Linked DNA regions of Schizosaccharomyces pombe. Changing the gene in region 1 together with any one later gene gives a genetic interaction. Each region holds a gene or a part of one and is shown in the gene's direction. Other genes may lie near its edges.

Region 1 (6,981 bases):
ATTATTGATAACTATTCGGTTAGCAGCCTTTTATAAAAGTTTGTAAACTCATACATGGAATTTTTATCTTATCTGTTGGCTTATGAAACCCATTATTTTTAGATCCTTTTGGAATATACGATAGTACTTCAAAACCTGTTGCCGAAAAATGATCAGAATCCGCAAATAGAGTAGACAATAAAATGGCTTCCTGAGAATGGGTATGGATACATGCATATGCGTCACGCAAGCTACTGCTTTAGTAAAGAATTCAATGTTCAACAACTTTGCTGACTTACGTGTATACTGCTAAAAACAAAGGTGTACACTGAGAAGGTTTCAATCGAAGAGCTGGCATTCGCATATATTCTCGAGTACTGCAAGAGGTTAGCATCTACTCAAAATGATAAAAACAATGACAATAATAATATCATACATTAAAGACATGACAAAAAGATGGTGTAACTCCATCCTTTCCTTTTGTACACCCGAGGGAGCGATTACAATGGCATCTCTACATGAAAGTTAATATTTGACGCTTTAATAATGCTTTGTACCCAGAGCGAATGGTAATTCCTCCTCTGATTCTTTTATTAGTTATATTAAATTCAAATTAGTAATTACCCAGTTCCTGTAACCCAGCCCGACGTATACAGATCTCGACAGATTTCGCAAATTAATTCACCACATTTTTTCAAATCGCCAGAACGAAGACATCCTAAGTCTTTCTTTAGAAAATCATCCATTATTACTATGATGATAATTATCTTGATGAAAAATTTTGAAAAGGGTCACGTTTCATTAACGTTTAAAAATTTTTAAGTAGCAAAAGTAACTGTGAGTTTAATCTACGCGACATTAAGCAAACAAAGTGAAGTAAAGAATTGATGTGTATAATAGCTATCTTGATAATTATTATTTTTTTTTATGAAATTATTAAACATTGTGTCATGGCACTTGAATAAATAGGAAGTACTAAGTTTTTGCTTAAAACAAAAAGTTTATTACAGTCTATTAACCTAATGAAAATAAAGTACAATAGAAATCAATTAATAATTTTTTTATTCAGTCATCCCCAAATATTGCACTGAAAAGAGTTTGGGGAGCTTTTGGTTTTTCTTCTATATCCTGGGGTCGATTCAACTTCCTTGTATCAATTGAATCGATACTTTTGTTTTCAATTTCAGCAATAATAGGTACATTTTCAATAGAAGAAATATTTTTACGCTTTTGTTTTTCTTGACCGTACGGTAAGGCGACATTAAAGCGTTTACAAAGAAGACGTTCGGGAATGAATGTAACAACTGTACGAGGTCTTCTCAAAATTGAATCATCAGTTTCACTATGTGAATTAATCGACTCTTTTTTAGTCGAGGCTTCAAAAGAACTTACGAAACGCATCGATAGATTTTTTGACATAGGTCGGTATAGTGAAGCTGTTTGAGTAAATTCTAGTAAATGACGAGAATCAATATCTCTGAGTAATCGTGGCATATTCATTAGGTGCGCCTTAAGGAAAATCTCGTAAATTCCGGCACGCTCATCGTTATAGGGATTATCTTTCCTAGACATTGCATTTTTAGCTGTCTCAATGTCAATTAGTTGCCAAGATCCCTCATCTTCCTTGACACCATGATTAACATCACTAGGTAAACTTGCTTCACCGTTGGAATTTGTTTCACTTTTCTCAGCAAAAAGTGGTAAGCGCTCATTTGAAGTTTGGGCTTTTTTTTGTGAAAATCCTTGAGAATTTGTAAAAAGTTTTGGCTCCCAACCCTCAGGTATTGTAGGAGGAGGAAACCAATTATTTTGAAAAGGTGATTGTAAATTAAATACCACTACAAATCCTGGAAGGGGAGGTAGACCATCTGAGCAATTTTGCGATTTGATTATGCTTTTCCCTTTGCTTCTGTCTTTTTTTGACAGAAAGGTATGCTTAACGGGTGTAAATGGAGAAGCGACTTTTTTTGTAATGTTGATAGATTTATCATACCGCATTTTTGGAGCACCGAGGTCGTATATATCTTGATCTTCTATCCCATCATCATTTAAAACACCTGATCCAAATCCACCGCGCAGATTTTTTGCCATTCCAACTGGTTTTCTTTCCAGCTGAAAAACATCGTCCGCTTGATACCCGATACCGTGATAAGCTTGGTTGGTTAACTTAGTGTCATCATAATACCCTTGAAATGGAGATATAACAAAATCATGACCGTTCCATCCAAGATTTTTTAACATTTTTTCGCCAATGCTATCGTCCCTATTTGAGAATTCTCTAAGTAGAGGATCATCAATTGGTATAGATGTATCAATCGTATTTATTTTCGAAGTATAAACTTTACTAAGCTCTTGGTCAGCACGATCTTCCTCGTCCATAATATCGTCAATAGTCATTCCATGCACACTTTTGTTTTCATTCCTTGAACTTTTCCAAGATTTAGGTTGCCAACCCTCTTTTGAACCAACCGTATTAAAATAGCCAGCAGAAAATCCACCAGTAAATGCACCATGAAATCTCTTTCTATTACGCTCATCCCTGGCTTCTTGTTTCCAAACAGGAACTCCTTGATTAATTCTGGACGGCTCAAGATCAAAAGGGGAGCCATAAACTACATAAGGGTGCCGATGAACATCGACATTGCTTCTTTTTCTTGAATTGGCATACATTTTAAAACAAGAAGTAATCGTGATCCGTAGTTAAACTGAAAAAAAAAAAATTCAAAATTCAAAATTTAAGGCATATTTTAGGATACTATAAGCCCATTATTTTTGAGGCGACAAGAATACTATGTTGAGCAACTTTTAATTTTTAATAAAGCCAGATAACTTATCAAAGAATTCTGATTTGTTGACAAAAGCAATTACAATACTCAATTTTTAAACAGTTGCCCTTGCTTCGAATTTCAGCTGCCTCCGTAGTGCAATCTGCGAGCGTTAGGGTACGTTATTTATCTATTACCTAATTCTTTGTACAGTTGAAGTTTCATGAGATGAAAAATGTATCATGTATATTTTGTCTGTTATTGAGAAATCTCAACAAAGTTCTATTTAGTATTACTTCATGTTGAACCAAGCATTCATAAACTAAGAAATTTGTTGGTAGCTGGTAAACTGAGCGAATTATCGTCGGTTGATTGGTAAAACATCATTTCTTATACTTCGTTTGCTCAACCATACTACGAATTTTAATGCCTAACAATTAATGAGCAATACACATTTGGATATGCTGCTTATATAATTTCACATATCTTGATAACTTAATTATCAATTAAGGAATGGTGGTTAGGCAAGTATGTGTATCATTACGTGGGGTTTTTCATAGATGTATGGTTTGAAGATGTTAAAAAAATAAGTGTAAGCGGTTACTATGCTAATGTTCTATAAAAACCAATGTTCATATAAATATTCGTCGATTGCGGGGCTTCTTCTCATAAGGATTATAATTACTAAACATAGAGGTATTGGCAGGTCAGTTGTAATTCGCGTACAACATCTTCGACTCACCACTTCTATAGTGGTACATAAATTACCGTTTCTTTCTGCGAAAAAGTGGGTTAGAAGTTCGTGCTATTACTTCTAAATAATCGTGAGAATTTAATTCAATCGTAGGATACAAAGCTGTTCATTATATAAAACTATCAACTTTCGAATATTCTATGGTGTGGATATAATTTTCATTTATCTTTATGAGTAAAAACTATACATATCATATTTACAATTAAAAATCTTCTTTCTTTCTACTATATGGATGGATATTTCGAATTATGTTGACAATTTCTACTTTGATGAGAAAATTGCTTCAGCATTTGAATTAGGTAAGCGTTTAGTAGTTCAATAAGCTTGCACATAAAAAAAAAATATTGGGTTTTTGTACCGGGATCTTAAAAGACGGAATTACTGACAGCTTTAGGAGAAGTAAGCACGGTTGATTTGTTAACGCTGGATATTACTGAGCTAGAAAGACGCACACATTGTAGTCAAAGTGAGTTATTACAGTTAATTGAGCAGATATCCCTCCTTCTTCAACCAGTAAGATGTTCTGCTTCCAAAGTCACTTCGAAATATTTGACAACTGGCGATGTAAAGTTGGATGAAACTCTACATGGAGGTATACCAGTAGGACAGTTAACTGAAATATGTGGTGAAAGCGGTTCAGGGAAGTCACAGTTTTGTATGCAGCTTTGTTTAATGGTTCAACTACCTCTCAGTTTAGGAGGAATGAACAAAGCAGCTGTCTTCATTTCTACAGAGTCCGGTCTTGAAACAAAACGATTATTTGAACTGGCGCGTTATTTACCAGAAAGGTATCCCAAAGCTGATAAGAAAGACATAATTATAAAAAATCCAGGAGATAGGGTGTATACTATATTATGCCCAGATCTGGAATCTCAAGAACATATCATTCAGTATCAACTGCCGATTTTATTCAATCGGGATAAAATTGGGTTGGTTATATTGGATAGTGTCGCCTCCAACTACAGAGCTGAGCTCCGTTACAACCGATCCAAAAGTCATTTTAGAGATTTAGATAATATTGCCAAACGTGGAAATCAATTGGGAAAGTTAGCTATGACTCTACGCACTTTAGCTCATCAACATGAAGCTGCTGTTGTCATAGCTAACCAAGTTAGCGATAGAATTCCTAGAGATTATGATGCTATTGGGTTGTTTAGTTTAGATTATCAATCGCAATGGTTTTCGGGATGGGATGACACAGATCCAAATCCCAAAATACCATCTCTTGGTCTCGTTTGGACTAATAACATCAGTACGAGATTAGCATTAATTAAGAAAACCGACTCTGCCACCAATAATTCGGGGAGAATCTTTCGGGTTGTTTATTCACCAAATTCTCCAAGGCTTGACGTACGAATATGCATAGGATCGGTTGGGATATATTCGTGCTAGCATTTTTGTAAAAATTTTATATATAATATAATAAAACCGGTTTATGAATTGCCCTAACTTTGTTTAATCGACTGTCGCTTATCAATCATTCGCAGAAAGAAAAGTAATGCTTTGAGTAACTGTTACATATATAAGTGTACTTATTTATCTTTATATTTATATTACCTCTGTCACTATTAAATATATATTTTGTTGATCTATGATGGTAGTGCATTTTTATTAGAATCCGACATACTTTAGTGGACTGAATTTTGGATATACCAGTTGGGTATTGAAATGGAAAAAAATACAATAAAAAGTTTTACACGTAACAAAGAATGCCCAAAGAGCTCTCTTAACCGACGAATGGCTTTTTCTACCTGTTTTTACTATTGCGCGTAAAAGATTTTGTAAGACCTTTCCGATAGCTTCCGCTATTGGCGATCCTTTAGAAATTTGCACCTAACATTTTTACCAAAAGCCAAGTATGCATTGGTGATATCTTGTAAATAAAAAATGAACATTCTTTTATAACATAATCGTTACAAAAATAGAACACAAAAATGTCAGTTCCAATTGATCGAATCAATACGGTTGACACTTTAGCCAATACACTGGAAAGTAATTTAAAGTTTTTTCCAGAAAAAATACATTTCAACATCCGGGGCAAACTAATAGTCATTGATCGCGTTGAACTTCCAATATTACCAACTACCGTGTTGGCACTTCTATTTCCTAATGGGTTTCATCTGCTTTTAAAACATGAGGGAGGTGATGTCTCATCATGTTTCAAATGCCACAAAATCGACCCTTCCATTTGTAAATGGATTTTGGACACCTATCTACCATTATTTAAAAAAAGTAATAATGCTTATCCCTCAAAAATTGCATTTAATCCTATATCGAATACTACCCTCGTTTTATTCTTAACAGAATGTTGCAATATCTATTTATTTTCTGAAAATAAAAAGCCCGTCGACCAAAAAATCAGGAGCGACTTATTAGAGCAAACTTTCAAGAACAACGACGTTTTTGAAAGTGCAGACAAAAAAAAAATCCGAAAAGGGCTGAGTGATGGACCGCTAGTTGATGCATTACAGCATTGTGGATTTCGCTACAACGATAAATGGGCCAAGAGAGTAAAGGAGCCAAAATTAATGAGCTTAATGTCGTATATCATAACAACAGTCGAGAGCTCCTCATTAAGCGAAGAATTTTTGAGTAAAATTTTGAAGCTATGGGGACAGCCAGGTAATAAGTGCTGGTGGATAAACGAAGTTATAAAAGTAAACGGATCTTTAATCAATGTTTGGAGGAGAAAGCAGTGGTTGTTGGAAGTTACGATTATGGGAAATCGTGAAAATTCTCAAGACTAAGTGTTTTAGTAAAAATAAGATTAAAAAACATTTTGCTAAGTTAGGCCGTGCATGCAGCCATTCTTTTAACAGATACCAATGTTACGAGGTTTCCCAGATTTTACTCAAATTGCGTGATAATTATTGTAGTATATTTATTTTGAATAATAATTTTTTATTTGAATTTTGTTAATACTGTTTTTTATAAATATTACAATACGTTCAATCTAGTTGTGGTAACATGAAAGTGCTTCCACTTACTTGATGCTCTCTACGCAAGAGTATGCCTAATGAGTTTATTTCCCAATCGCTTAGTACTCTTACAAATACACCCTTAAATATTCAGAAAAAGCTATTACCAATCACCAAATACAGTATGTAGCTGTTTTACCCTTACATTGCTGACGTTACATTTAGGAAACCAGTTGTTATATGCAGTAGAGCAAAATCAGATTACTATAGTGTTAGGCCACACAGGATGTGGTAAAACAACTCGTAAGTATTTTGATTAGATGGTTTATTAAACTAAAAATAATCTTGAAGAAATCCCTCAATTTTTATACGAAGCTGGATGGGCGTCCCAAAACGGTATTATAGGATGTACACAGGTTAGTCACAACTTTGTTTATTTATCATCCTCCTAACTTATTTGAAAGCCCAGAAGACTCGTAGCAAAGAGCGTCTCTGAACGAGTATCTTTGGAACTGAACTCTCCTCCTGGAAGTTTGTGTGGATATAGCATTCAATTTGATCATAA
Region 2 (7,540 bases), 1.3 Mb from region 1:
TGTCTAAAATTTTAACTATAATGAGAAGTTTTCGAAGTATATGATACTTGCTTTTTTAATAAAAAACATTTTTTCCAATTATAGCAGAATAATAAATGCCTTGGCTTACTTTCTAGACTATTCTCAATAAAATGACTACTTAATTTAGTTAAACATATACAAAAACATCCGATATTTGTTTTCCTAAATGAAATACAAAAGTTTTTAAGATACAACCATATGATACAACAATGACAAACGTGGGATTACTTCTAATATTATAAAATCGTTTTGATAATTAAAATTGTTTTGGCCATGGCTTCAGCAATATATACTATGCATAGTATGATACATAACTTTCACTGTTCGATATTTTCTATAATCTGATGCTATGATTATTTTTAGAAATTAGCGTAAGACTCATAAGTTGCTTTGCTGTGTAAACTAGCTATAAAACTAAGAAACTCACGTTTCCTTGGATCAGTTGAAAGTTCAATCTTAATATAGTTATAATACTATTTAGTATTTTCCGATATTTTTGTAGCTAGCTTCATTATTTGTGGTAAGCATACTAGCATCATTTTCAGTAGATCTAAGTCACGAGGAACACTCGGCATAGTCTTTTGGATTTTTAAAAGCATTTTACCGATTCCTCATAGCTCTACTAATAACTATGTGCCCCTTATAAAATAAGGTGCTTTAGCAGAAAATGAAAAAATCTCGTTAAAGATTTACTGCGAATTTAATTACAGTAGGGAAAAAAATTACTTTCCTTAAGACTGTACATTTGAAGTTATCTTCTTCCAATTCAGTGCCAACAATTGTTAATTGAAACTCCCATATATTGGCCTTGCATTAAGGGTTTTCAGTAAAAATAATGGATATGGACAGTGGAAGTATGGGGGTTGCTTTTCAACCCTCAGAGCCTATTGCTTCAACAATCTTGTGTTGTGAATGTGGAGTTCCAACACCTCCTAATGCGGCTGCTATGTGTATGGATTGTATAAAAATGACAACGGACATCACTAGTGGTATTCCACGGGAAAGCACAGTTAACCATTGTCGTGAATGTGAACGATACATGCAACCACCTAATAACTGGATGATTGCACCATTGGAATCTAGAGAATTGATGGCTATTTGCTTAAAAAAGCTTCGAGGCTTGAATCAAGTACGCCTTGTAGATGCCAATTTTATCTGGACCGAACCACATTCCCGACGAATTAAAGTCAAATTAACGGTACAGAAAGAAGCCTTTACAAACACCATCTTGCAGCAAAGTTTTCAAGTTGAATTCTATGTTAATAATACACAATGTCCTGATTGTGCTAGAACTTACACTCCACATATATGGAAAGCAGTTTGTCAGGTTCGTCAAAAAGTGTTACATAAGAGAACGTTTTTGTATTTGGAGCAGATTATTTTAAAGCATAAAGCTCACATGAACACTGTAAATATTAAAGAAACTAAAGACGGAATTGATTTTTACTTTGGCCAGAGAGCACATGCGATTAAAATGGTTGAATTTTTAAGTGCTGTTGTTCCTATTCGCTACAAGGGCAGTGAAGAGCTCATTAGCGAAGATTTTAAATCCAATACCGCAAATTATAAATTTACTTATTCAATTGAAATTGTTCCTATCTGCAAAGACGATCTTGTATGTTTACCAAAAACGGTAGCAAAAGCCCATGGGAACATTGCTCAACTTGTGGTATGTACAAAAGTCGGACCTACGATCCGCTTTCTTGATCCGCTTACTTTACAAACCTGTGATATGCTTCCCTCAATTTATTGGCGTACCCCGTTCCCTGCACTTGCAGATATTCCCGAACTTACTGAGTTCATTGTTGCCGATGTCGATTTATTAGGCCCAACAAATGGAAAGTATGCCCTCGCCGATGTGGAATTGATTAAATCATCCGATGGGTCAACGCACTTAACACGCACCCATCTTGGTGGTATTCTAAATGCGGGCAATACCGTCCTTGCGTATCATTTAGCTGTTACCAATTTTAACAATGAAGTATATGATACTCTTCGTGAAGATTCTATTCCGGAAGTTGTAATTGTTAAGAAAACTTATCCTCAAACGAAAAAGAAGAATCGGAATTGGCGTCTCAAAACTATCGGAATGCAAAAAGCCGAGGATGTCAAGAAACAAGACATTGAACGTCAAGAACGTGATTATGAGTTATTCTTGCAGAACTTGGAGGAGGATCCTGAGCTTCGCCAAGGCGTCAACTTATACAAAGCACCAGTTAAGGCTATTGCCGTTGCAGATACTGATATGGATGAGGAGGATGAGGTTGATGAAGACATTCCTCAAATAAGCGTCGATGAGTTGTTAGATGACGTTGAGGCAATGCATATTTAAAAATGCTTTAGGTTACCAAACCTTTTTTAGTTTTTATTTTGTTCTTGAACCGTTTTGGATTGGGTTATCAGATGGGATTGGTTATTCACGTACTTTAATTTTAGAAGTTTTATTTAAACAAAGCTTTCTTCCACATTTTTTTTAGAAATTAGTGATTCGTTTTAATGAGTTGAGGACAAATCGACTTTAAATGGCTTTTAAAAGTAAATAAAACTTTCGTAAGATGATATGACTTACTAAGATAACTAGATCAGTATGTGCTATGTATGAGGTGGTAAAATTATAAGTAAAGAATAGGCTTTTTTTACCATTTTTAGTCAATCTACTATATGAGGAACCCATAGAGAATTTATCTTTAAAATTTTTTAATAATATTTATGTAAATACTACAAAACTTAAATGAAAAAGAAGACTAACTTTGGAAACCAGGAGGAGGCATTACAGGGTTGCCGTTATTAATTCCTAGAGAAGTAGGAGGTTGATTCTCGGCGCTTTTTTCCTGTTCAGGGACAACCTCCTTGTCAATAACAGAACGCGCGTTGAATACAAACAACGGAGGAAGATTCTGAATCATTTCGATTTGCTTTTTATCAAATTCAGTTCCTTCCGTGCTAAAATTGATTTTACTCAACGATGAAACCAAGTCATTAATTGCTTTGTTAAGCCACTTTGTAGTGTTTTCTTCTTCCGAGGGTAATTTCGCAGCTTTCAGTTTTTGGATTTTAGGTATTGAAGTCTGGGTTGATGAGGATTTCAGTGCATCTAAAGGTTGCTGATTAACAGCGGCACGTAATCGTTCTTGTAATACGCTTGGAGATAATTTTGCCCAAGCAGCAGTTGGTGGAAGAGCAGAACTCTCTTCGTGATGAAGAATAGTTGTTGCATGTCCAGGAACGACGTTTACAGAAGCAGCAGAAGAATAAGGGGCAGGAACGCTGGTAGCAGTGTTATTAGTGGATAAGGAAGGTGTCATTGACACTTGTGGATGAACATGATCAACTGTTGTAATATGCTGATTTTGTGCAGCTGGACTACTATTAGCCTCTTCTAACGGTGTTTTCGTAACAGGAAGTAGAGGTGTTTTGAATGGAAGAGAAGGAGAAGGAGAATGAGTAGCACCATTTACCACATTAGGTTTAGTGGAAAGAGGACGGGTATGTTGAAGAGATGCCAAGTCTTCTTTAGTATAACTATCCACCTCGTCACCGGGTTCATGTAAATACATGCAAGAAGGATTGGGGCATTGCTGATTCCGTAAATAAGAAGTGCAATATTTAGTGGTACCATAAGATGCGCGAAGATGTCGCCCATCACTTACGCTGCCATCAATTGCAGCAATCGCTCGTGCAGCATCTTCTTTTCTTTGGTATGTAATATAAACTCCAACATGACCATTTGCAGAATTTGCAGCAGCCTTCTTATTTATTGCAATTTTAATAATCTTTCCGTATTGACCAAAGTATTCAGGTCCCTTCAGAACGTTGATATTCTCCTCATTTGCAACTTTGGGAGAAAGGCCGTTTACATAGGCAAGGTTCTTTTGTACAACACGAATATTTGCAAGATGCTTCCTGTTTGAAAGCTCGACTTCCTTCCTCTCTTTCTCGCGTTTCTTCCTCTCGTTTTTTCGATGTAAGTCCATCTTCCATCTAAAAACATTAGCGACATGTTTAAAAATAAAAGTGAATTTAAACAAGATTATGCTTAAACAAGAATTCTATAATCTGAATTACATACTCCTCTGCCGTGACAGGCCGCCATTGAACATTTTCTTCAGTGTACAGACGGCGACATGCAGGACAACGGCCATTTAGATCTTCTTTGATATGGTGCCAGCAAAATCTACAAACTCTGTATCCGCATTGGCATGGTTTGAAGTTTTTATCAGAGATATCAATTTCTTCCATACATAGAGGACTGTTGCAATTGTCAGTTAATTTTGATACTAATCGGCTAGTAAAACATACCAACACATGTCATCCTCATCTTCTGAAGAATATATCTCTTGCGTTTTTAACATTTTGTGTGAAATATGTCAAATCTCCGTCACAGTGCTCTCCAAATCGATACTGTTTAAGGTCGCTCGTTATACAATACAGAGGAAGTCTTCAAATATCTTAAATCAAATCTTTGATTTTAATTTAATTTAGTTAATTCCCTTAATATTCATTAGACTTCAAACAAATATTTTTTAAAGGGCAAACCGAGTTGTGGTTGGTTATAAGTTTACTTACAACTTAGTGTAAAAGAAGGAGGCAATGACTAGGTGAGAGGTTGGATTTGAACAGTATATACCACACGAAAAATAGCAATTAATAGACATGAATTAAGAAATTTGAGAAAATTCTTATTCCAAAGGTTTTTGGAATTGTGTTTGAACAACAAAAAGTACCCTTAAAAGTTTCACCGTCTATAATTTCATCTTGATAATTAATTGCAGTAAACGTTTGTAAACGAATGTATTATATATACAACTTTTTCACGTTGTGGTCAAATTCTTTAGTTATTTCATCTTCTAAGTAATTAGTGAATATATTGAATTGACGAAAAAACGATGAACAACATAATAAGAGGCATAAAGTGCTTCTCTACTTAATTTACGCTCCATGTTCCATCAAATGGATAATAGTTTTTAACAAAATGTTCAAATATTTTACATATAGAAGGGAATTTATTCTTATGATAATCATTTATACTAAATGCTCCTCTCGAAAATCAGATATCTTTAAGTAGTTTTCTAAGTCTAATTGCAACGACGTTTGGCGTTCAAAGACTTGTTGTAACTTAGCATCTTCATAACAGCGTTGCTTCACTATAATATACTTACAACCTCGACCATTGTTCTTTTTTACGATAACCATTAATTTTACCTTTAATATTCCTTAAAACATTAAGGATAGTATTGATATTTCTAAGTGCTAACCGTCGCGTATTACATGTTGCTTTGCTCATAGCATGGGAAGTATCTAATGGCATCCTCTATAAACAATTCATCTCAACCTACAGTACCTTCAATTTCTAATAATAGTCATGGCGACTCTTTCGTAAATGAAGGTCCCCCTTCTAATTTTAAAAATAATTCTTTAACATCATCAACTCACTCTTCAACTGACCATGTAAATGTCTTGCCAATTAGCCAAGACAAAGAGATGGATATAAGTTCTCCAGTGAAAAAACAAAAAGCTAGTTATTCGAATAAATCTCCAAATAAAGCACCTATTCAAAAAAGCCGGGGTAGTTCCCTAAAAAGTCATCTCGAAACCGAATCTCAACAAACTCCTGTAAAGCGACGGAGACGAAAAGCGACTATACGCAACGTCGACTATTGTAGTGCATGCGGAGGAAGAGGTCTTTTTATTTGTTGCGAGGGATGTCCTTGCAGTTTCCATCTTTCATGCTTGGAACCTCCCTTGACTCCTGAAAATATTCCAGAAGGATCTTGGTTTTGTGTGACTTGCTCAATCAAATCGCATCACCCTCCTAAGCACCCTCTTAGTATATGGTCCCAGCTTTACGATTGGATTGATTCTCAGAATCCCTCGCAGTACCGATTGCCCGACGACCTTGTGCATTATTTCCATGGAATATCTCGTGGGGATACAGGTGCTTATAAGGAAACTGAAGGAGAAATGGATACTGACGAGTTTTCTGCTTTGCCGACTGGCTCCTCTATCACTAATCTAGCTTACTGTGGTTATTGCTCTAAGCCATCAATGGGTGCTTGTTGGGTCTATGGTTGCCAGCTGTGTGACACCTTCTATCATAAAAATTGTAAAGAGCATGCTAAAAAATGCTCTCATGACTCCATTGGAAAAAAAGGTATGAGAGTACCAAAAAACGCCGTGGTGATAAGGACGCCCTTGGTGTTGGATACAACTTCTAATACTCTTAATCCTAAAGTCATGATTTCAGGATGGCAATTTCTTATGGGAGAGTTTCCAAGTGATGAACTTCTCTATTTCCCAAGATTACCCGTGAGTTGTCTCTACAAAGTTTCAGAAGACGGTCTCATCAAAGATTTTTTGTACGCGATTGGCATAGAAGCTAAAAAGTTTAATAATGAAAGGAAAAAACGAGAGTTAGAGGTTATTCCTCCAGACGTAAAAAGCGCACTACTTCCTGCGAGAACGCACCCAAACCTACCTATTGCACTACGCACTTTATTCAATAAGGCACGCACTTGAATTTTTACGATATTTTTACATTTTGTATAAAATCAGACTACGTTAATCTAATCTGTCGTGTTCAAATCGTCAGAAAAGGTTGTTTTCTGTTATTTTTTTGCTAATGTTGTATTTATAAAACCTCTTAGAACTGGCTATCTGTTGTAATTGGCTTATTTTACATTACTTTTCTCCATTAAGGCTTTTAAAAAATTTTCGTTATGCAATTAATCATTGCAAATCCTTCCTAATAGGGCAAAAGTTCTATTTTATACTAACAACTTCTCAATACTTAAATTTTATACGCGTATTGTACCGTGTGAGTATATATAAGTATATATAAGTATATATAAGTATATATGAGTAAGATGCATTTACTAGACAAAGAGGAATAAAATAAAAGAAAGTGATAAGGAAAGGTTCTATTACTAAAGTCTATTTAACAGCCATATCAATGGTTTAAAACGCTTACAGACCAAACGGTCCATAAAACTTGAACACCAAAAATATCAACAAATAAAAGATATGTTGGCATTCGTAATTACAAGTAAGCAAATACTTATTAACTAGAACCTAGTAGGTTCGTCGAACTTGCTTTCATCATCACCAACCTGACTTCTAAAGTCTTCAAAGTCGGTAGCGTTGCTTTCTCTTCGTTTGTATTGAGCAAAGACATTCCATTCTTCAAGATACGAGGAAGAGTATAAGTTCGGAAGATTAGAAAACGAAGGTAACATGGCAGAACCGGCATTCTGTATAGGAGATAGTGATCTTTGTACATTGAGGTCTCTTTTAAATTTTTGAGGTTTCTGAGGAGGAGTAAGGGTTAAGGAAAACTTTTGTAAGCTGTTCAAAGTGCCTTCAACTAAATATCCTTTTTCCTTGCAATGGAGGACAAAATGATACCATAAAGCATGTTTAGCAAGGACTTTTGGATTACCGAGAACAATTACACCATACTTTGCTCGAGTCAATGCAACGTTCAACCTTCTTGGATCGTTAACAAAACCAATACCTTGGTGTT
Region 3 (7,794 bases), on another chromosome or scaffold:
CCAGTCAGGTGGAGCGGCAGGGGACTGAGTCAACCATTTTGGTTTCATTTCAATTCCATCTTTGAGATCTTTCATTACCAAACAGTATTGCTCATTTAAATTTAAATAAATACCAGAAGCATTTTGGGCCGCCAGCAAAAAATCCCTAGTAACTGGCTGCAAAAAAACCTCAATTAAAAAGCTTTCCATTCCAGCAAACAAAGGATAAATTACATTTTGATAGTATTCATAAACTTGTTCTGTAGTAAAAACCTGTCCTCGACGTCGAAGACGAATTACCTTGTCTTGAAAGTAAGGATTTTTACCAACATACTCAAACACCACATTCGCACTTCCTGAGGCAAGGTATGCCCATTCAGAAATCACCAGGGATTTACCGGTGGAGGAATGATTGGAGATAACGGATGTTGGTGAATAAGGTGCAGGGGATTTAAAAAGCGGATTCGATATAATTGGAACTTGAAAATTACTACTAGCAACCGATTCATCTTGGGACTCTACACCAGAAGAAAGGGCTTTCATGGATGGAGGACGCGACATAATTGGAGTTGAAGGAGTATGTGTGTCAACGGGAGAATTTGTAACAGAAGAGCTAGCGGTACTAGCCATAGGCGAAAGGCTTACCTGAGACGCTGAAGTATGCAAATTCTGAGCGATGAGAGAATTCATGGCATCAATTTTTCCAGCTTCCCACTCTCTATTTGATAAAACATCACCAGATTTTGGAAGTTCTACGGGAGGACGGTTGTTGTTTACGGCAATTAAGGAAATGCTTTCAGCAGCCTGGCAAACTGAGGAAAACTCAACGAGCCACGTTTGGGGAATATCGTCTTGAAAACAATCCCAAGGGCGAACAATGTTGTGCATTTTTCGAAACATTTGAAGTTGCAAGCAGTAAAAATGCTTCATAAGTTGTCCAAAAAAAACACGACTTTTTGCAATAAGAGTTGGGAAGGACAAAGTTAAATGCTTCTGAAGGTCATCCAATTCACCATTGACACGGACAAGCTGGCTTTGTAATGCTTTAATTTTACTTTTTTTGGTTTCAGGATCAGGCAATTCGTAAACAACCAATAATTCTTTTTGAATTTTTTCAAGTTCTTTTACTTTTTTATCTCTTCTTTTAATCATTTCAACTGCCTTCTTTACATAGCCTTTGACCTCCTTGCAAGGAGCAATAACTATGACATGGAAATTTTGCAGGGCAAGCAAGACTTCACGACGTTGACGTTCCAAGGCCTTGTTCCAATCGACCAATGTTCCGACAGAAGCAGCAGGTTGTTTTTCAGGAGGTAACTGTCTGTACAAAGAAATCCAAGAGGCAGTGACGGAGGGAGCTATACAAACCATGCATCTCCAAGCATCATAGAAGAGTCGAGAGTTATCGATTGTAGAACGAATCGCTTTATCTAATTTGTGGATCTGATCACTCCACTGCTCAATTTGTTGATCAGAAGCAGCAATATCTAATTGTTTAGGTTCTTTTTTAGACGTAGTCTTTGTATAATCTTTTGTAAATTAAATTAGCACACTATACAAATTCAAAGGAAGTAAGAAGACATACTTTTTAGAGGCATTTCAAATTAATAGAATAAATAGGATGCAAAAAAGAAAAGAAGAAGGGTAGAAAATGAGAATAGACCAAAATTCTGAACGAAATAGTTGTAAGAGAAGGAAAATATAACCAACTGGCTGATGAGTAAGTAAGTAAATGTGAATTGAAACAAGAAGCTCTAGGATAATTTTCTAGTCTAATAAGGCGGGAATTTTTGATGCTCAGCAAGGATTTGGCGGTTTGACAGGGAAGGTAAATCTTGGGGATATTCCCAAAGGAAATCAGAGGTTCTCGTATTATGGTATTAAATGTAAAAATAAGTTAAAGAGCAGGTGCTTTGAGCATCCACAGAGAATTCCAACTCCAATTCGAAAAAAATAACCCCTTTCGAGGCGTTGATTAATGGTGAAAATAACAAATGACTGATGTTAGGTCAGCTTTCACTTACTGATCCTATTTATGAATCTCGTAATCCGTATTTACGAAACTCAAGAAAAGAACAATTGCGACTATAGTAGTAAGAGTTGAAGTTGGAAATGCGAATTCATTAGCTAATTAATTGATTTGTGTTGCAGAGTATGTATAGTAAAAGTTACTAGTAGTTTGAAATAGCTGCACAAAATATGTGTCTGCCAGGTGGTAGTGCGTTCTGGTGATACAAGTCTTGAAATTGCGACATGATTTGATAACTTTATATACTCGCAAGATGGCCAAACTAACTAACCGGGCGATTTGAAAATGTGAAGTTTGGTACCAAATCGAGTTTTTCCGCTTATGTTTGGCAAATTCTTCAGCTAGTTCAAATCGCCGGTGCGAGAAATAATTCCGATCCGTTAGGCGATAAAAAGCGATGCGCCTATATCATAATTTTCTAAGAAAGTCATTTTAACAATTTTAAAGTTATCATGCTAAAATCGCTGACCAAAAAATCCGAGGCTGGTCGAGATTGATGACTTCGCAAACCGAAAGGTTCAGAAAAGAATTAGCCATATGGTGTTGCATTGGTTTGTTGAATAAATCATCTAAAAAGAAGCCGATATCTGTAACTTGTTTGAAAAATAGCGTTGTATTATGAGTGAGAATGAGAACGTTTCAGAGATCAGTGACTGTTGAGAAATTTTCCATCGACGGATCAACATTAAAATCAATATGTTTTATACATTAGTCGAAAGGAGTCTATCTTTTGGAAATTTAATTTCGGAAGAGAATGTTGACTCACATTAAGTGTAGTAAAGATAGCAACATTAGCAGGAATGGTAATTACGGACTCAACGACTTGCGGAAAAAGTTTTTTTTCTCCAAATACACATCAATGTTTTCCCCGGCCGTTACCTTTTGAATATTAAATTCTAGAAAACACACTTAGAAGTCTATAGCGCAAAAATCATATCGAAGGCATAATATAATAATATTCGAAAATAACAGATGTATTAACTGAGAACAAAAAAGGAAAGTTTTATGTTACATTGTATGAACGAGAAGCCAAGGTTTTTAGGAAAACGTTGAAATAAATAAAAGCCGTGAGCTTCATATCTAATTTGAAAATAAATGTCAGACAACTATGTTCTTAAACAGTAAAATCGTAGCGGCAGAGAGGTCTTTGTAAACAAATCTCATGAACTTGTAGTCGATCCGCCGGCAGATATATCGTCTTCGACTTCGGTAGACAAATTCAGTCCGTGCATATTTCTGATTTCTTCTTTGAGGATAGAATTGACTAGACGGTGCTGCGCCAAAGTGTTCTTCCCTTGGAAGGCTTTGCTTTTAATTGCAACTTGATACATGCTGCCACATCCTCCAGAAACGTCGATAACTCTCAAAGAACTAGGTGAAAGCTTCTCAGTGAGTATGTCCTTTATCCTTCGTTCTCCGGGTGTCGAATAAAATCGTTTAGTAATGATCAAGGGTTTCTGAGGATTTTTCAAAAATAATGGGCTTAAAAGCCTACCGATGGCTAACTTCATATTTAAACTTGAATATTAGAAGGAAGTAAATTAAACTGGTATCTCAATAATGATAAAACGGGATTTAGGAAGTTTTTTGTATCTGCATTCGCCTATTGGGTTGCTAGTATAGTTTAGTTAACTTCATCAGTCCCGGTCCAACCTACTGCTATTTCTACGACCCATTTGTCTAGGTGGATTTCATTCGAAGCAAAGTCGCTCTTTATTAGTATAACTTACAAAGATATAATAACTAGAAAACTGTGAAAACTTTTAAGGGGACCGTCCGAGCTTGGTGTATATTTAATTACAACGTTCAGACTTTCGTGGATTCTTTTATTTAAAACGAGAATAATTAAATTTCGCTAATTAGTCGATTTCCTAATAAGTGATTGTGTTGAATTGTTGTGTTCAAAAACATTTTTGTATTTGCCAACGCAGAAATATATTACATATTTGGATAAACTATCGAGTTCCTAACCTTTATTTTCTGAGCAAACTCATATAAACCTATAATTTATACATCAAGATTACTCATCGTTGTTCAACTGGAAAGGTACTTTTAACATTGAATGTTTCATGACATTTTGATACCTGCCTAACGCCTATGAAAATGCATAATGCGCCAGACGAATACTCATCTTGAAACGTTTTCTCTTTTTGACGATGTTTGTACTTGTTTGCTAGTTGACAAGGTGTTTTATTGGTCCCAAATTCATAAAGTACGAAAATTAGTGGATCGATCAATTGAGCGAATGGAAAGCTGTTCTATTATAAATATTATAACCAAATATATTATAGAGCAAACAGACCTTGACCAAGCGGCAAAAAATATTCTGCAATTTCGTGAACTTGATCCATTGTTGCGGAGATTGTCAAGCACTTCTTTACTAGCATTTACTCGACATCTGAAGTACTACCTCTCATTATATCTACCATCATGCAAATTTGAAATTTGTTCAACAAACCAATACTTTTCTTCCTCAAAGCCTGAAGCTTGCGTAATAGCGCGTGAATCAATTAATGCTGGAGAAGATATTACAGACCTCTGTGGAACAATTATTAAGTTATCTCCTAAAGAAGAGCGGAATATAGGAATTGGAAAAGACTTTAGCATCCTTCATTCAAGCCGCTTAGATTCGATGTGTCTATTTTTGGGCCCTGCACGATTCGTTAATCATGACTGCAATGCTAACTGTCGATTTAACACTTCTGGTAAGCGCATTTGGCTGCGCTGTGTAAGAGACATAAAACCAGGTGAAGAAATTACTACCTTTTATTCTTCTAATTACTTTGGCCTTGAAAATTGTGAATGCCTTTGTGTCTCATGTGAACGAATGGGCATCAATGGTTTTAAAAAGCTTTTCCATACTAGTGCTACTTCAACAAGTTGTTCTTCCAAGAGTAGTTCTGATGTTTCCGATCTGTCTTCTTTGCCGCAGTCAAATCGTTACGTGATTTCCGAGGAAGATCGTAGCTTCTTGAATATTTGGGATTCAGGTGGTGAACTGAGTGATGCGTCCAGTTCTGATTTGGATGAGGAGTTTTCACTATTTATACCAAGGCACAAAAAAAGGGTGTGGTCTCGAGAAAAAAGGCTTTTGTCTGAGATGGCCATAACGAACCATAGTCCGTTACTGAATGTGGATGATTATCGAAAATTTCGTGAAGATCTATGGAAAAAAAGACATGGAAAAAGAAAGGTTTACCAATGCTCAAACTGTAGCCAGACATTTATTAATGAAGACATTCAAAATTCGAGTGCATTTTGTCCGAAATGTATTAGACATTCTAAACTCTTTTCATTACCTTGGCCTTGTAGACATAAAGTTAATCGTGAATTGAAACTAGAGAAAGAAAAGGAAATTAATACAAAAAGGAACTTAGTTACCAGCTCGCATAGTATGTCTCTGCGACACAAAAAAGCTGTTGATTATCAAAGTTAGTTGACTAGACTATTTATATTAAGATTGGAAATTTTGGTTAATTTAGGTCATTGTTAGTTGGACTTTAAAGCATTTATTTAAAAAAAAAAAACTAAAATCTTGCACTATTCAGGGTATATCCGAAGGTGAACAATGTACATTTGAATCATTCCGTTCGCTAATTCAATCTATTGTTGATTTTTTCATGGGATTCACCACCTCTATTAACTAAATATTTGAATGCTTTTAAATTCAATAAATTAACGTTCAATGTATTGACTTGTTTTAATATACTACGTTTTTATAACTGAGGGAAATTTTGGTTGTGTAATATGTCACTATATAAGCTGTGCCCGGTTGGCCTCACAAACTTTACTAGCATCCACAAGTTTTTTAAACTTGACCCCCTTTTCCTTTAACTTTATCAGACATATCCATAATGGAAGGGGAAAATGATCCTTTATTAGGATCTTATAAGCCTAAACGAAGAAGATCGAGTCTTGTTTACGGTTTGTCAAGACCCCAATTTCTTGACACCGCAGCTTCGGAAGTTTCACCTATTCCACAAGAAAGACCCACTACTTCCTTAAGAAAGCCTACACCTAGGGTACAAAGACCTGCGACTGATGTATCATATGGCGCTTTAGAGGAAACAGAAGAAAACGAATCTATTGCGAGTGGCCTTTCAGTACAAGAAGACTTTAATAGCAAGGCATGGTGGAAAGAATTAACATTACTTATTAAATTCGCAACCCCTGTTGTATTAACGTCTTTACTTCAGTATGGTGAGGTGGTTACTACTGTTTTCTCTTTGGGCCACTTGGGTAAAACAGAGCTTGCGGCTGCAAGTCTGTCTAACATGACTGCCACAATTACGGCTTTTGCTATTTATCAGGGGATTGTATCTGCTTTGGATACCGTTGGAACTCAAAGTTTCGGATCTGGAAATTACGAAATGGTGGGTTTACATTTACAGAGGATTCTGGCCATATTGTTGTTGATACAATTCCCTATTTTCTTGATATGGTGGAAAATAGAGGGCATACTTTTATTCCTTAGACAGGATCCTCTTACTTGTATGTTTGCGGCAAAGTATATGCGAGTAATGATGTTGGCTAGTCCGGCATACGCATTATTTGAAGCACTAAAACGTTTCCTTCAGGTGCAAGGTATATTTCATCCTGTAACATACATTTTAGCAATTGTTGTACCTATTAATATTTTTCTTAATTACCTTTTTGTGTGGAGTCCCTGGGTTGGTTTCGGTTTTCTAGGTGCACCGGTCGCTGTAGCATTAACGCTATGGAGTGCTTGTGCTGTTCTAATTATCTATATTATGAAGGTAAACGGACGACAAGCATGGGGAGGTTTTAGTAGAGAAGCATTAAAAAATTGGGGCCCGTTATGTCGATTGGCTGTTCCTGGTGTAATTATGATTTGCAGTGAGTACTGGGCTTTTGAACTCGTTACTTTCGCATCGGGCGTGTTGGGTACCACTGAATTAGCCTCTATGTCTGTTTTGTCTACTACCTCGACCCTTTCTTATAATTTGGCTTTCGGTGTCGCTGCTGCAGCTGCCACAAGAGTAGGAAATTTAATTGGTGCTGGAAATACGAAACTCGCTAAGCTAGCTACGCACGTTTCTATCAATTTAGGTGCTGCAATTGGTGTTATCATTGCTGTAATCCTTTTTTTAACTCGCAACACATGGACTTACATTTTTACGTCTGATAAAGATGTCGTCGCATTGGTTGCAACTATCATTCCCCTTGTTGCACTCATTAATATTGCCGATAATACACAATGTGTAGCTGGAGGCCTTCTTCGGGGACAAGGAAGACAAAGGATTGGTGGGGTAGTAAATTTCATCGCATATTATTTATTGGGTTTGCCTGTTGCCATAATCCTTTGCTTCAAGCTAGATTGGGGGCTGTACGGTTTATGGATTGGAATTGGAGCTGCAATTCTAATTATTGCTGGAGTAGAAACTTGGTGCTCATTGCATGTCAATTGGGACCATTTAGTTGAACTTGCTAATCGTCAGTTTGATGAGGCTTAAAAGTTGATACGGACAAGTTAATGATTATTTAAATATGTATTGTGGTTTGTCATAAATTGATATATTTGAAGAGATATGTTCGGTTTATGATACCATGGTTACGACTACTAACAGTTGATTGATAAAAGTATTCGAGTCGGTACTTTTTCCAGTCTTCAAGATTTGGCCATGTTTTGGCCTATCCTAAAAATTAAGTTTACGAAAATTGCAGTGCTTTAAACTCTCATATTTATGAAGCTTATAAAAGTAAATTAAATTAATGGTAATTTGGAATCTTTTTGGGTGATTAATATATAAAATACCACATATGCT
Region 4 (8,529 bases), on another chromosome or scaffold:
CTCGTTGTCTTCAGCTTCTTCATCCGTTTTCTTCTTCTTTTTTTGATTTCGTAGATTTCGTCGTTTCACTACTGGTATCTCAATTGTCGTTGTCGACATCGAGTTTTCATCTTCGTTGTTTTCTTCAACAGAAGTCGGTGTTTGAATAACTTCTGATTCTGTCCCAGTCGATTGCCCTGCTGACTCCTCGCTTTGACGAGGAGGACGAGCACGTCCTAATGCTGAAGCATTGATACCTTGAGACTGAATAATGCATTAGTAACTCCGAGCTAAGAAAGAGTCATCACATACTCTTAAAAATTCTGTTAAAGCAGAATTTGGCCCTCTCACCCGACTTCCACTTGACATTTTAAAGAAATCCTTAGTATGCTGAGGATAAGGTGGAAGTGTGGTTGAGTTTAATTAAATCGCTTCAGATCGCGTGGCAACTTGTCTCATACCAACCACTACTATGCATATATCTACTCTAAAAGTGGACCAATTACAAAATGAAGCTGTAGATATTAATTCAAACGATACAATTGATTCCATAAATTGGAAAAATACTCGCAATAACCATACTACTCAGGCGTCTCTTCAAGCAGACAATAATGATGAGCAAAGTAATGGGCAGGCTCCATTTTCTACTACTTATTCAGAGATAAATAACATTCATGATGTACCAGGCAATCAAGATGAATGGTCATCTTCTCCCATTGCGGGCATTATTGTAGAAAGTGAAGATGAGGAAGTGGTTGAAAACAATTTACATTCACAAATGGGGACGTCATGTAATAAAATAAACTCGAATAGTAATAAGGGAAAAGAAAATATGCATTTTGTTCTAGATGATAATGGTGATTCAAAGGGGAATGCTTCAAATCAACAAGTCGAGCGTGACGACAAGTTAGATATGGAGACAACGCGCTGGAACGGAAAAGAGTTTGAAGAACCTCTGTCAACAAACAAAAAATTGATTATCCAGTCAAACAACACCTCATCTCAACATTCGACACCCCCATTATCCATTTCTGATACCAGTACACACACCGGTAGCAGCACAGACAATGTAGAAGCAAATCCCAATACAGGTTTTTCTAGTGCCAGAAAACGTTCATTAAGGTCCTCGAATTTGAAAAAAAAGTTTGTGCCATTGTCATCTCCAGAAGAATCTAATGAATCCGAATTTATTGATGATGATGAAAGTGATGAAGTTGCTAGCATAATTGATATCAAAGAGGATGAAACTTTTGATAGTAAAGTAGAAATTCCAGAAGCTGCTCCAAGTTCTTCTACGGAAAGTGATGAAGAGTCAATCCCTTTAAGTTACCAGTCCAAACGAAGGAGGGTATCCGCTAGGGCTTCTTCTTCCGCGTCCTCTTCCTCTAGAACACAAGCAAAATCAATTCCATCACATGAAAGAACCCATTATCGTCTGATTCGACAACATCCTGAACTAGAACATGTTTGGGAGAAATTGGAAGAAGAAGCACCTCGTGAAGTGAAACAGATCGAGCAACCCAAAGAGTTGGTCCTAAACCTTCTCCCTTTTCAACGAGAAGGTGTATATTGGTTAAAACGACAAGAAGATTCCTCTTTTGGTGGAGGAATCTTGGCCGATGAAATGGGTATGGGTAAGACTATTCAAACAATTGCGTTGTTGCTTTCAGAACCTCGAGGTAAGCCAACCTTGGTTGTTGCTCCGGTTGTAGCAATTATGCAATGGAAAGAAGAGATTGATACACATACCAATAAAGCACTGAGTACATATCTTTATTATGGCCAGGCTCGTGATATTTCAGGAGAAGAGCTTTCGAGCTATGATGTTGTACTAACGAGTTACAATGTAATTGAATCAGTTTACAGGAAGGAACGCAGCGGATTCAGAAGGAAAAACGGTGTTGTAAAAGAAAAGTCATTACTTCATCAAATGGAGTTTTACCGAATTATACTTGATGAGGCCCATGGTATCAAATCAAGGACTTGTAACACTGCCAGAGCTGTTTGTGGCTTAAGAACGACAAGAAAGATATGTCTTTCAGGAACACCTTTGCAAAACCGTATTGGAGAATTATTTTCACTTCTTCGGTTCCTACGGGCAGATCCTTTTGCTTACTACTATTGCTTGCAATGTGAATGTAAATCTCTGCACTGGAGATTTTCCGATAGAAGTAATTGCGACGAATGCGGCCATAAACCAATGAGTCATACTTGCTATTTTAACGCTGAAATGCTAAAACCAATACAAAAGTTTGGATACGAAGGTCCAGGAAAGCTAGCTTTTAAAAAGGTGCATTCTTTATTAAAACACATTATGTTACGTCGAACAAAATTAGAGAGGGCTGATGACCTTGGATTACCTCCTCGAGTCGTTGAAGTGAGGAAAGATTTATTCAACGAAGAAGAGGAAGATGTATACCAATCTTTATATATGGATTCAAAAAGAAAATTTAATACATATCTTGCTGAAGGTGTCGTTTTGAATAATTATGCAAACATTTTCCAGCTAATTACACGAATGCGCCAAATGGCAGATCATCCTGACCTGGTGTTAGCTAGCAAACGAAAAACAGTTGATATTGAAAATCAGGAAAATATCGTCTGTAAGATTTGTGACGAAGTCGCTCAAGATGCTATAGAATCACGTTGCCATCACACATTTTGTCGACTCTGCGTTACGGAATATATCAATGCAGCTGGTGATGGAGAAAATGTCAACTGTCCAAGTTGTTTCATTCCCTTAAGCATAGATCTTAGTGCCCCTGCTTTAGAAGATTTTTCTGAAGAGAAGTTTAAGAATGCATCGATTTTGAATAGAATTGATATGAATAGTTGGCGTTCATCTACAAAAATTGAAGCATTAGTTGAGGAGCTTTACTTACTTCGTAAGAAGGACCGAACACTGAAGTCGATTGTTTTCTCTCAATTTACTTCTATGTTAGATCTCATTCATTGGCGACTTCGAAAAGCCGGGTTTAATTGTGTAAAGCTAGATGGTGGTATGACCCCCAAAGCGAGAGCAGCTACTATTGAGGCTTTCAGTAACGATATTAATATTACCATTTTTCTAGTTTCGTTGAAAGCAGGTGGTGTTGCTTTGAACCTTACAGAGGCATCTCAAGTGTTTATGATGGATCCTTGGTGGAATGGAGCTGTACAGTGGCAGGCAATGGATCGAATTCATCGTATTGGACAAAAAAGGCCGATAAAAGTAATTACCCTGTGTATTGAAAATTCCATTGAAAGCAAAATTATTGAACTACAAGAAAAGAAAGCTCAGATGATACATGCAACCATAGATCAAGACGAAAAGGCTTTGAACCAGCTTTCTGTCGAGGATATGCAATTCTTGTTCTCAAATTAGAATTTTGTTTTTTTAAAATTAGCCCAAATTTTGGCCGTTTCCTTTTTATATACCTGCCATATCTCCCTTTGCATTTTTTTTGTTATCCTAGTTTTTTGGACCGTAATTCCCTAAGTCAGTATATGCGTTTTGGAAGTTTATTTATTTTTTTGGGGATTCCTATTAATGGATATAATTTATTATTGAGTTGTCAATAGAACGGTTAAAGTTTTTTAAAACAAATTAAACATAGTTAAGATTTTATCGCTTCAATGTAAAGTCATTAACTTACCTTTGACTGATAAATTTGTAATAATAGTAACTCAATAGATAATCATTATATCTTCAATTTTAATATAATATTTTCGATTTTGGAATGTCTTTATACTTTTTGGACTTAGTAAATTCTTTATATCAATCAGTGCCTTAAACTCACTCAGCAACCCATAACTTCTGTTAAACTAGTGAACTTGCACACTGAAGGATTAAAAGTAAAAAGCCCAATAATTTCTCAAACAATTTCCTATTTATGGCATGACTAATAGTTCACCACGGGTGAAAAGAAGAACGGATACGCAATATTTGCATTCCGTCTCTTCTAAATTGCCCAAGGTTGACTTTGACACAAATAACGAAGAATTTTTTGAGGAAGAATTTGAGATTTATGATCCTTTTTATCGCGCAGAGCTACCTTGCCCGAAACCGTCATTATCAATATCGAAGCATTCAATTGCAAAAGTTCCATCAAATGTAAATAAACGATTAGAATTGCAACTTTTACTAACGTCTGGGACATTCTTACCTAATTCACGTCCTTATTTGAGTGAAAGAGTGAGAAAACACACTCATTTACTTTCAAATAGCATTACAGGCGATGATAAACCATCACTCATTCATGTTGATTTTACACCAGAGGAATGCTTTATTTTACAAGAAGCTAAACTAAAATTTGGACCGGTAAACAGTGTTCAGTTCAATGATGCTTATTCGACCCACATTTCTCCAAAACTTCCTGGACGAGCATATGAAGATTGCCAGAAATTTGAAATTGATAACCCCAGCTTGTCTCCTGTGGACAAACATGGGGCCATCATTTTACGAACATACAAGAAGAATAAAAAATTACTTCCAGATTACTTAAAATCCTTTTACAATGCAGGCTCATCTTACTTCCAAAGAGAACAAGTTCATCAACTTATGGACGGGGAATCAGTTTTCTTTTTAAAACCTTGGAAACATTTCAATGAAACTAGTGGGGATACAGTGTGCGTTGCATATAATCCATTGTGCGAAAAATTTGCCTTAGGCAGCACAGCACAAGATGGTGCTTACAATAGACTAGGCAACTTATGGATTGGTGATTTTCACTCAGAAACTATTCAGTCATTGGAAAGCCATTATAAACTTAATCAAGTAGGAGAAAAGGAATACTCTACGATATCAGATTTGTGTTTTTCCAAGGGTAATCTGTTTCTTTATACAGGTGCATTCGACAATGCTGTGAAAGTCTGGGATATGGAAGGAAATTTATGTGGGATTTTTAATGCACCCACAGACTATATTCACAAGCTTGCTCTATCTGATGACGATTTACTTGCAGTAGCTTGCAAAAATGGTTATGGGTATTTATTGAGCACTGACAACTCAACAGGAGAAATTCTCACATCAGCTAATTTAATTTATCCAGAAGCTCTAGAAAAAGGGTACTCTGCATCTTTGATTGAATTTTCCAATTTTTTGGGAAGGTCATCTGACAAAGTCATTATTGGATATGATAGTTTTCATACTTCTAATAACAGAGGATGTTTGGCTCTGTTTGATGCTTCCACTGCCAGCTTCGTTCAAAAATTCAACACCGCTGACGAAGCATTTACCTCCTTATATATGCATCCTTCTCAAGTTGGATTTGTCGCAAGTAGCAATACTTTGAGCAATGGAAGAGTATATTATTTAGACACAAGAATGTATAAGGTTTGTCTCAACTTTACGACAACGCAAAAAGACATTAACCATGCCACCATAAGTAACTCTGGAATCTTGGTAACTTCTAGTGGTACAGATAACCAGACGTTTGTTTGGGATTCGCGTAAACCAGATAAACCTCTTAGCTTGCTTAAGCATGGAAAAACCAAAATGATACATTTTGACGGGGCTAATGAAGAGGAAGTCGATGCAGGTATAAATATGGCACAATGGCAGCCTAAGGGGAATTTGTTCGTTACCGGAGGCAGTGATGGCATTGTAAAGGTTTGGGATTTGAGATTGAACAATCCATTCATACAAAATTTTACGGAAATGAATTCAGCCATAACTTACGGAGGGTTCAGTGAGGATGCTTCAAAGCTAACCGTATGTTGTGTTGGAGGGGACGTCAATATGTACAGTTTGGGGAATGACAATGGTAATAAATTCGGAGAGTTTCGTATTATAGAAAATCGACTTTTAACCTGAATTGAGGTTTAAATACGAAAAGGTATATGTAAAGATGATCAGTCAATGGAGATTCGCGCTAAGAAAAATTTTCTTTATTAGACGACTAGGATACAGAGAAGGTATAAAAGAAATAATGCTCAGCTAGTATGAATATTTAATCGAATTCCTTTTCGTGGGTGAACTGGCAAGAAAATTAAAGACAGCGATCGATCCGAGAAATATTTAAGAACTGAAGAAGGCCAAAAATTTTGCAATGATTCTAAAGGATAATGGAAAATTAAACCTTAATCTCAGTGAAGGTAAAGTCAAGCTGATTATTGAATTGACGTTTACAGCAAGAAAATTTTAATAATATCTAATATGTTTCTTTAATGATCAACTGACTGGTTTGATAACTCAAAAGCAAAACATAGTAACAAACAAATGAGCTTTCACGGTTAAAGGATGAAAAATGTGTTACAAATTAAATTAAAATATCAAACATAGATAAATTTAAGTTTAGCTTAGACCCGAAACTCTTAATGTTAACAGAAATGGAGATTTTTTATGGAATGTTGAATTAACTCTTCAAGCAAACGTAATTAGTTAACTTGAAAACATGCCGTTAACAAAAACCATAATTTAATCATCAACTCACCTTTTCAATTTAAAAAAATGATGAACAACTACCGGAAGCTTTTTTGTTTACAGCTTTGGTGTTTACATATTCATGTACCACTACACTTGGCTGCACCCAGCTTGCTATTCGCGTTACTACTAAACAATATTAATTTGTAAACAATAAATTATGCCTAATACTGAAAGTGAATTGAACGAGGAATTTTCTAATGAATTTAATATTCCTCCACCAACTGAATCCTCTTCAAAGGAGGGAAATAGATTTTTAAACGACTTTCGAGTTGAATTCGAGAAAAGAAGAATAGAAGCGAGAAATAGAATATTAGAGAGTGAGGGAAGGGCCCTTGAGAACAAAACTCACCTGAATGAAGAGGAGATTCGTACAAATGAGCGCGTAAAAAGGTTTCAACGTCGAGTGGATGAGTGGACCGCGTTGGAAATTGAGAGAGAAAGCCAAGTTCAACCGCCACTTTGGTACCAAAGAGACCGCGAGGAGCAGAATAGGACTCTCAACTTTTTAATGAGCGGTATGGCAGATTTACAAAGAACCATAAATACTATGCAAGGGACCATGAACACTATGCAAGGGACCATGAACACCATGCAAGAAAATATGATTAATTTCACAAATAAGGTCAATACTCTCGATATGCGTTCAGTTCGTGCGGAAAATAGAGATCTTAGGAAGGGTGCATACGTGATTTCGCCTGTTCCCTTTATTAATGGTAATAATCCGGACCCTGATTTGCCTCCAATTACTTCAGTTCAAGATGTAGATCGGTTGTCTAGGAGTCAATGTTCTCGATATTTACAGGGCTATGGGGTAACTTTTCATGTAAACGAAACTATTGGGATGAAGAAGAAACTTGCTAGCGCGGTCGGCCTATCGGCAGAGTATGACAGAGAGTATCCTTTTTCTGGATTTCCTAATTAGCGATTCTGGCAGAAAAGTACTCGACGAAAATTAATCGCTTATATTTTTTTACTATTTATTCACGTGTATTATTATATTGGAAATGTATATAATTATTGGGAGTGAAACGTTCAAGAGTTCAACCCAGCTACTTATAACTCTTGTTTACCTGATGTTGAATAATCTTGAATCTTTGTGATTGTTGAATTAAAAAGCATACCGAAAGCAAAGCATTCAAATTAGGTGATTTGTGAGGTAAAATTTTTAAGATAAGATGCCATGGGCTTGCATATTTAATTTTTAAAAAATGATGTTTGCATAAAGACGATAACATACTGTCTTCGAAAATCCGTTTTATGAGAAATCTGAAGTTAATATAAGTTAACCGCTCTTGATGGCGATAGTTATCATTATTGTTTATGAAATCTCAAGAGAGAAACTATTATTTTAATGTTGCATTGCATATATAAATATATATTTTTTAATTTCTTTACAAATTAGTACATCGTCATCATACATAATAATACTACCAAATTATTTATTGGTATTAATTCATTGGAAAATAACATTAATCATTGTTGCCTAAAGGAGAGCATAAGACGATCCGTCAGGACTGTGAATTTGAGTAATGAAGTATGTTACGAAAAAAAATAATTCAAAACATCATCCTAAGCTTATGGTGTATAAAAAGTTTTCAAAGAAAGATTTTCGATAAAAAAAAAGATTTGTAGAGAAGTATCCTAAAGCTCATCGTAGTAAGGGAGCACGTCAAGGTTACCCACAGCAACTGTACTAGCAGGTTTGGCTAATAAAGATGAAACCACCTTAGAGATGGATGCGGGGGTAACCTTGTCGAAACCACTAATAAAGGCATCAGATCCTTTTGAAGCAGAAACTAAAGATGAAGCAGATATGGCGTTCAAAGTAACAGGTTCAAAAGCAGACAAGTACTTAGTCTTAGCCATTGCAATGCCACTTTTAACAACATCATTGGGGATATTAGAAGATAATGATTTAAGGGCCTTGAAAGATTCAGAGGCAGTAGCTTTAATAGCTTTTGGACAACTGCCAGAAATAACGACCGATAGCAAACTGGCATCCGAATAAGGAGTGAGATCAGCAACAGCTGTGGCTTTGTATTCAGAAGCAGTTCCAGCAGCCTTAGCAAGGAGAGTGTTTCCATGAGACCATTTCACGGCAGCATCTCCTCCAAGTATAGAAGACAACACAAAAAGCTCAGGAG

The links.
Region 2: mutations in rad57 (region 1) and cph1 together harm fitness more than expected from each alone (negative genetic interaction), as found in Schizosaccharomyces pombe (2 studies listed by BioGRID).
Region 3: mutations in rad57 (region 1) and set9 together harm fitness more than expected from each alone (negative genetic interaction), as found in Schizosaccharomyces pombe (3 studies listed by BioGRID, with this or other methods).
Region 4: mutations in rad57 (region 1) and raf1 together harm fitness more than expected from each alone (negative genetic interaction), as found in Schizosaccharomyces pombe (2 studies listed by BioGRID).

Annotation. Positions count from the first base shown.
Region 1 is NC_003424.3:2,119,560-2,126,540, forward strand, and holds rad57 (DNA recombination mediator, RecA family ATPase Rad57/Rhp57), read left to right. Parts: upstream 1-3,470; 5' UTR 3,471-3,730; coding exon 3,731-3,797; exon of another isoform or gene 3,798-3,892; coding exon 3,893-4,890; 3' UTR 4,891-4,947; downstream 4,948-6,981. Other genes in the region: mde1 (5'-methylthioribulose-1-phosphate dehydratase), read right to left, coding at 1-11, 55-230, 279-356, 416-493, 537-560, 604-725; gpl1 (Gpl1-Gih35-Wdr83 complex RNA-binding subunit), read right to left, coding at 1,045-2,649; whi2 (phosphatase activator), read left to right, coding at 5,433-6,245; gih35 (ATP-dependent RNA helicase), read left to right, coding at 6,508-6,598, 6,642-6,719, 6,768-6,832, 6,881-6,981. UniProt on the Schizosaccharomyces pombe protein: Involved in recombination DNA repair and in the repair of gamma-ray-induced damage.
Region 2 is NC_003424.3:794,228-801,767, forward strand, and holds cph1 (Clr6 histone deacetylase-associated PHD protein-1 Cph1), read left to right. Parts: upstream 1-5,139; 5' UTR 5,140-5,322; coding exon 5,323-6,537; 3' UTR 6,538-6,754; downstream 6,755-7,540. Other genes in the region: export adaptor Nmd3, read left to right, coding at 857-2,353; CCR4-Not complex subunit Mot2, read right to left, coding at 2,766-4,002, 4,091-4,270, 4,321-4,373; ATP-dependent RNA helicase Upf1, read right to left, coding at 7,083-7,540.
Region 3 is NC_003421.2:1,151,931-1,159,724, reverse strand, and holds set9 (histone lysine H4-K20 methyltransferase Set9), read left to right. Parts: upstream 1-3,663; 5' UTR 3,664-4,118; coding exon 4,119-5,444; 3' UTR 5,445-5,811; downstream 5,812-7,794. Other genes in the region: ipk1 (inositol 1,3,4,5,6-pentakisphosphate (IP5) kinase), read right to left, coding at 1-1,508, 1,565-1,577; protein fra3, read right to left, coding at 3,169-3,519; SPOM_SPCC4B3.13 (MatE family transporter), read left to right, coding at 5,863-7,482. UniProt on the Schizosaccharomyces pombe protein: Histone methyltransferase that specifically trimethylates 'Lys-20' of histone H4 to form H4K20me3.
Region 4 is NC_003421.2:97,499-106,027, reverse strand, and holds raf1 (CLRC ubiquitin ligase complex WD repeat subunit Raf1/Dos1), read left to right. Parts: upstream 1-3,763; 5' UTR 3,764-3,856; coding exon 3,857-5,773; 3' UTR 5,774-6,312; downstream 6,313-8,529. Other genes in the region: rhp7 (DNA repair protein), read right to left, coding at 1-243, 292-348; rhp16 (ATP-dependent helicase), read left to right, coding at 452-3,343; protein meu23, read left to right, coding at 6,543-7,307; ubiquinol-cytochrome-c reductase complex core protein Qcr2, read right to left, coding at 8,027-8,529. UniProt on the Schizosaccharomyces pombe protein: Component of the Clr4 methyltransferase complex (ClrC) which contributes to the establishment of heterochromatin by specifically methylating histone H3 to form H3K9me.